Daphnia pulex: one gene and its partner. The protein of the gene in region 2 interacts with the protein of the main gene of each other region in a pairwise test. Links are inferred from orthologs where the notes say so. Each region holds a gene or a part of one and is shown on either strand. Other genes may lie near its edges.

Region 1 (4,368 bases), on a different chromosome or scaffold from region 2:
AACAGATGAATATAGTGTTTAAAAAGGAGACACGGATTAGTGGAAAATAATATAAAAACGTACCAACGAGAAAGAAATATTTTGAGCTTCACTTCAAAGCGCCAGTCATTTTTTTTATAGGACAGAGGAGGAACTGCAAAATATTCTAATACCAAAAATTGCATTCGGTTCCACCACCATATCAAAAGAAAAGTATTTTTTTTCAGTTAAAACGCAAACTTGATGGGAATTCTTGTGTTTTTTTTGTTTTTTTAGAAATAGGACTCGGGTCCGTGGGATGTGGATTTTCGAGAATACTGATGATCGTTTTTTCGGTGACGGGAGAGCGTACGTGATTGTAATCGGAGATGTTCGGTTCACTTCTAGTTGTCAAATAAAAACGATAACGACTACATCGACGGTTTCAACTATACGCAAAAGCGATTAAAACTACAGAGGTTTCTGAAACAAATGAGAAAAAACAAGCACCGATCGAGGTGATCCACAGAAACATTTTCTATCAAGACGAAACAACAAAGCTGCACTGAGAGGAAGGGACAAAAGAAGGAGTACGAGATGGGTTAGAACGAGTTAATCGAACAGCTGAAGATAGCTTGTAACGCACAGTATGATCAAGATCTGATGAAGTTAGTAAATTAAGAGTTGATTTGCCGAGAAATAGGGTGGAGGAGGAGAAGGGGCACTCGTCCACCCCTCAGGGTGAATTCACTTGATGCATACTTGGATCATAACCCATCGATGAATCGCCATAGCCCTACAAACACGTTTACATTAATTAATATGCTGAGATACCACTAGTTAAGTCATTAAAAGTAGTTTACTTGGCCGCCCATGGAGGAAGGAAAGTCACCACCGTTGAGTCCCATAGCACCGTACGGGCCTAAGGAATCTTGTGGACCCCTGAGTTCAGGACCACCAGGTTGAGGCGACATCATCGGTCCGGGAGTTCCAGCCATACTGTATGGCGAGGAACCTAACGAGAAAGAAAAAGTACGAAAATTAGAATCGCTCCGGTAATACGAGGATTTGAAAATCCTCAGAGTGGAAACAACTACCCGCGGCCTTTTTAGCAGCATACAGGTTGGCCTCCTCTTGGGCTTTTCCAATGTTTTTCTTGTAACGAATTCGTTTGTTACCGAACCAATTCGAAACCTTTTTTGTAAAAATAACAAAACATTAATGCGCTTATTCCTCTTAAAAGGATTTAAAAAGAAATTAACCTGTGAAACGGTGATCCCACATTTACGAGCGAGCTCTTCTTTGGCTTCTTCACTTGGGTAGGGGTTGCTTAGGTGCGAGTAGAAGTACTCATTCAAGATCTCAGAAGCTTGTTTGCTGAAGTTACGCCGCTTCCTCCTACATGATGAAGACATCGATAGAACAACACCTTTAATGGGCGTGGTCAAACCTTAAAAAAATAGCAAAATTTACCTGGCGTCGAGGAAACGAGATCGTAAAATCATAACGGCCTCGCAAGTGCTTTGCTTCAGCTGCATTTGGATGGAGCTAAACTTGCGATGAATGATCTGAACCATCCGCTCAATCTCCTTGGGTGTAATCGGACGAGTACGGGATTGTTCTCGGAGCAAATTCATAACATGGGTGGTGAATTCACTGCAAGCCTGAAAGCGGATGTAAAAATGAAATGGTTATTCTCCATTTTCTTGTCATAGAGGTCCAATAAAAAAATAAGCATTGCTAAAAATGTGTACCTGCTCATATTTCTCAAGCTCTTGATGGTAAATTTGACGAATTTGTGCCAACTTAGCCCTATAATCAGAGTGTTCAATAGCCGAGTCCGACATTGAGCCGCTTTGAGACGCTGCAGCTGATGCATTGGCAGCAGCACCGGCCCCACCTCCTTTTTCAGGACCAGCTACTCCTTCAGCAATCAACATGTTATCCAACCGCATGAGTTGCGGATCTGGAGGCTCCTCTTCTTGCGTGTTGCGTAGCGACAAAACTAAAGTGAGAGCACAATTTAATGTTACCATTCAATCACTTGGATTCATATTGAAATAGGGTTACCAGTTTTCTCTTTGATTTCACACAAGACAGAAAACAAAGCAGGTTTCATGCGATGACAGTTCAGGGTATGCTTGCGTGCTTGGGCTTCATCAAGACTCTGGTCTGTGATGTTCATGATCTGTTGCAGAATTTCTCCAATATCCTAAAAAAAAAGAAGTTTTACTTAAAAGGAAAAAAAGATTTTGGAAATGGAATTGTACACACCTGCTTTCGTCCAGTCATATTTTCAGAGTCTTGGTTCCCTCCATCAAGTGAAGCCATGTTAACCCCAACATTGACTCCGACATTGACAGGAGGTAACCCATACGGTGGCTGATGCATTAGTCCAACCTGGCCACCTGGAACAGGATGCATAAGTCGATTTGGATCATCCATCAAAAGCAATGAAATCTTCCAATGTCACTGCACAAAACGTATTGCCTTCAGGCTACAGGACCTGGCAATAAAGACCCTGTAAACAATGACTTTCCGTTTACTAACATCCATACATGTGATTTCATGAAATGTAAACATAAAATGAAATGTACTAGACACAACAAAGCACTAGTATTGCAAGAAAGCAATCGTAAATAACAAAAATTGGCTTCGGTTAATATAAAAATGCCAACGTCTTATAAAATGCCCAAGGCGACAAGCGTCCGCCATGGAAGAGAAGTTTGCTTGCGTAGCGTATTTCTTTCAATTAGAATAAAAACTTTCTTTACTGACTTGACACACAATTTGAAACCGGGAATTCACGAGTTGTTTAGTATTCAAACAGACTGAATCACATTTCTCAAAGGCTCATAAAATAATTACCAGAGATCGCCGAGATTATCGACGGGACAAAGCAAAAAAGACGCGAGAACGCGATCACAAAGGTAAGTATCGATAATTATATCGGGTAAGCCAATAATCGATGTACTAGAAACTCGCGATACTGTATTTATTTTTTATTTTGAATTTTATTAATTAAAATTTTATTTTTACAAATGAAAACGCAACAAGAGTAAAAATATAATGATGTTTGATGTTAAAATGTATTAATTTGACTTTAACCTCTATGAAGATAAATACATTTAAGTTACATAAGAGGCATTTTCTTGATAAATCGTCGATGCCACAAAAATGCTGTGATAATTGATAATGAATACCACGTTAAAATGTACGAAACGTGTTCATTTCTAACAGTAACAACTGTTTGTCCACCTACAGGTCCATCCGGTACTGTGCTATCAGCGTCCGCGTCAAAGAAAATTGGCGCAGTGTCTAGAAGCCGAGCCATTCCCTCCACATCTCTGTACGCAATATATATGAAGTTATCTAACTTTGCGAAAAATATAATTGTCTTTACCTGAAATGAAACATGCGGTCTTTGGGCTGATTTTGGGGTACAAACTGGGGGCGATTTTCATTAGAGCGGTACACTCCAATCAGTTTTGTTTCGCCTTCTCTTTGTCCATTTAGTCTGGTGAATGGATTCATTTTTTTACGAGGAATCCATCCGCGGTTTACAAGAACTGTGAGACTAAAAGTAACTTGTAGAAAATTGAGAAAATTAACTGTTTGAATGTCTTACTTGGAATCTGATAGTTTAAATGGAGTGATGACTAAATAGCCACTCTGCCCTGAAGACAACATCCCACCACCTTCATTTTTTTCATTTCCAACCAGTGATCTTGGCCCAATGTAAATCTCTTTGTCATGTTCAAATTTTCCATGGAGTTCAAACTTCCGGTATTCCATGTCAGATAGCCCTTCAATACTGTAGAGCATTGGTGTAAATATGCATAAAAGGGTAGAGTTAAAGAATTGTATCAGTCTCACTCTGTAGACTGAAATGGAATTGGTGGTGCAGACGTTCTGCTGGCAAGATGATCAATAACACCAAGTTTCCACTGACGTCTGAAAATCTGCCAGGTCCCAAGGCCGAAAGTGATGGCTGGAATAGCCTACATTTATTGGATCAATTTTTTGTTAAAGAACTATATGTACGTTTTATTTTTAAAATCGATTATCTTACCAATAACGAATAACCGTGAATTCCGATATCTACAGCATTTCTTTGCCCATAGCTTGAGGCTGATCGTCTTACGTAATTTTGTGTACATGTCTGAATAGTAGCAGAAAATGAATGTTGAAAAACACAGTTTTGAAGCTATAAACCAAATTACCTTAATTCTTCTAATTTTCTGAAAATGCCTTAAACTGAGCATTGTAATCAATTTCAATTTAATCTCTTTAGGAAAAGAAAAGGTCTTCACAAAAAAAGTGCAGAAGAGTTTTTGAATAACACTTGAACGATCAGAGACACCTAGCGCATTTTCAGATAAACCTATGGTGAATTGTCAGCTACCTGCG
Region 2 (2,878 bases):
CGGGAGAGTATGCTGGAAAGAAGAAAAAACACAAAAAATTTATTAAAATATGATTTTTAAACTATTTTGGAATTTGGAATTTCGAACAGGAAAACCATCAAATTCCACAGTTTATAAAAACATGTTTGTTTTTTGTTTGTTTGTTTGTTTTTTTATTGCGTGGATATTTGTCGGATATAATTATTTACCTGTCCACCGATGGGGAACAAATTTCGAAGCTGATGACTGGCTGATGATGGCGGATGAGTGGCGGCTGGCGCGTTCCTGACGGGATTTTTCGTGATGTTTCGGTCGAGAGGAGACGAAGAAGAACATTTGTGGCGTAGTAGACGACGTGATGTTTTGATAGTGTGATGACATTATGATACATTTATGTATATATATAATTTGTGTGGTGTCTTGTTTTTGCATTTGTTTTGTCTTTTTAGCTGCTTCGAGTAGTTTTTTCTTGAGGGGGAGGGGAGGGCGGCGGACATTTTGGACAGAAAAAACGAAAACATTTCGGCGTTCAATTTTTATAAAAAGAAAAGGAGAGGGAAAACAAAAACAAAAATGGGGGGGAAATGAGGGACAAAATTGTATGGGTAGCGGAGAGACACGCATGCAGCAGCAGGAGCAGCAGCCAACGAGAGTCGAGTTTTGTGTGTGGGTTCTTTTTTTCCAGTGTCGTTGATTTTTATTTTTAATTTTTTTTTTAAATTTTTGCTTCTCCTTCACTTTTAATTTCTTCAGAGGTGATGGCCGTAGTACTGTGGCGGGTAGTGGTACTCGGAGTGGAAGGCCATAGGATCGGCCGGCGGTCGATGCATCATGGCCGCCGCCGCTGCTGCTCCTCCGTCCATCATGTAACCCATACCGCCGCCATCGGGACTGTAAGCGCCGCTAGGGCCAGCCGGATACAAAGCCACTATATTTTTGAGAAAAAAATAAAATAAAATGTAGACATTAAAAATCGCGTTCAAATTTTAGATAGGCAAGAATAAAGGAGCTATAGTATTGATCATTGATTAGCTTAGGCCTACACTAAAAGGAGCGCTGCTGTTTGAGCGGGCGAGAGAGAGAGAGAGGGGGAGCAATAAGCGATCAATTAGCTCAGCGACAGTGTGTGTCCCAAGTATCATCACAACTACTACATAAAAAGGGAAAGAAAGGAGCTTATCTCCGGTTTTTCATGGCGTCTCAACAGCAGCGGAAGAAAGAAAAGGAAGGCAAACAGCTCATTCGTGCGCCCGTCTCTTTTTCTCTGTTCTCTTCTTCTACAATGGCACTGTCAATATTTAATGCCACGACAATTGGTTTTATATATAGCAAAAGGAGGGAGTGACGCTATAGCAGCGGCAGCAGCTGGGCGCCGGATGATTATACTCCAGTTGATGTTGGTCTCCGATCAACTTTTCTTTTTCTTTTTTTTTCTATGTGTACGATATTATCTGGGCAATCGAATCTCCACAGACGAGATAACGAAGCTACACGATACAAGATATATATAAAAGGAAGAAATCCAAAACTTACCGGCACGATTCGACTGGTCGATCATGGGCTGAACGATTCTACGCCGGGCGTTGATAAACCTGGAGGGGAAAAAAGAAAAATTTCTCCAATTATTAACAAGGCTATAATAAATTATTTTTGAAAAGGAAAGAAGAAAATAAGAAAAATCTCATTATTCGTCGTAGGGAATTAATTTTAAGCGCATACGCATTCACTCAAGTCTCCCTTTTTTTTCTTATTTATAAGGAAAAAAAATTACATTATAACTCTGGGGCTCTTTTCCTATTGTGTCGACGAGGACAATTGAAAAAAAAAAGAAAAAACATCTTTGAAGAGAAGAAGAAGAAGAAAAAAGGGGTAACGAGTAGAATAGTATAATCATCCAGGTGACGTCAGCATCAAAGACGTGTTCATAATGAGCCGTGTGATTCGACGGTCGAGACGACGGCCTGTCCGTCGCTTGAGAAAAAAAGGGGCCGGAATACGTATATATACTAGATATATTGGATGGGCCTATAGAGAGAGACTGGCTATAGGTGGACGGCCTCAGCACAATCATTACCTTAATTGCAGGTTTTCCCTGTATTATTCTTCCCCGATGTTGATAAGAATAGTTGGAAAAGAAAGACACACGGGCTCTCTCTCTCTCTGATGTGAGAGAGCCAGCAGCTGGTGTGCTGGCCAGCCAACTTATTTTCAATTTTCATTCGCAAGACAAAAGGTACCCCACAGAAAAAGAAGAAAAAAAAGAGGAGGAGGTGAATGATATGTCCGTCCATCTTCTTGACGCTTTACATACGGGAAGGCATTATTTTTTAGATGCCCGGAACCCAGAAAACATGTTCAACTCAATAAAATAAAAACAACCGAAATTACCAAAAACACAAAAAATTTAATTTTCTGTTTTCCCCAAAAAATAATAAAATAAAAACCTCAAAACGACTGGGAAAACAAACGGAAATGTATACATATATACATATATATCCAGCGCAGCGGAAGCCCTGGCCAAGCTGTCACTTGACCCCAGGAACTATTACAGTCATATAAATATAATATAGTTCTCTCTCTCTCACTGCTGCCCGGGTTTCGTGATGATACGAAACATCTCATAAATACCTGCTGACTTGTGTAACGGCTGTTGTGCTCTTTCGCAGGGGGCCAAGTTGACGTAAAAGGAGAAGGGGGGTGGGTGGAGGATTTAGGACGGGCGCAGAACTTCATCAAGCTCGGATATATAAGGTTGAGCCTCAGCACCCCACCCACCAGTATAATATATATAAATAAATATATAGTTTTAACCCGATGTCGCCATGAGTGTAATATCACCGTGATATAACTCTTGCTTCCTCCCCTCGTCGGTTCTCTCCCACCCAGATGTCGCCCTGAT

The links.
Region 1: the proteins of homeobox protein homothorax-like (region 2) and homeobox protein extradenticle-like interact in binary tests that used the Drosophila melanogaster proteins (3 or more experiments, as listed by UniProt). The link is inferred for Daphnia pulex from reciprocal best matches to the Drosophila melanogaster genes hth and exd.

The regions. Positions count from the first base shown.
Region 1 is NC_060023.1:11,355,971-11,360,338, reverse strand, and holds the start of homeobox protein extradenticle-like, read right to left. Parts: upstream 2,914-4,368; 5' UTR 2,827-2,913; exon of another isoform or gene 2,737-2,826; intron 2,480-2,736; 5' UTR 2,404-2,479; coding exon 2,233-2,403; intron 2,171-2,232; coding exon 2,029-2,170; intron 1,964-2,028; coding exon 1,713-1,963; intron 1,623-1,712; coding exon 1,432-1,622; intron 1,357-1,431; coding exon 1,221-1,356; intron 1,153-1,220; coding exon 1,053-1,152; intron 974-1,052; coding exon 822-973; intron 755-821; coding exon 695-754; 3' UTR 1-694. Other genes in the region: surfeit locus protein 1-like, read right to left, coding at 3,092-3,305, 3,362-3,535, 3,587-3,772, 3,835-3,959, 4,031-4,120, 4,182-4,223. UniProt on the Drosophila melanogaster protein: Transcription factor which acts with the selector homeodomain proteins altering the regulation of downstream target genes such as wingless (wg), teashirt (tsh) and decapentaplegic (dpp), thus affecting segmental identity.
Region 2 is NC_060026.1:11,046,735-11,049,612, forward strand, and holds part of homeobox protein homothorax-like, read right to left. Parts: intron 1,572-2,878; coding exon 1,513-1,571; intron 908-1,512; coding exon 729-907; 3' UTR 189-728; intron 13-188; 3' UTR 1-12. UniProt on the Drosophila melanogaster protein: All isoforms are required for patterning of the embryonic cuticle. Acts with exd to delimit the eye field and prevent inappropriate eye development.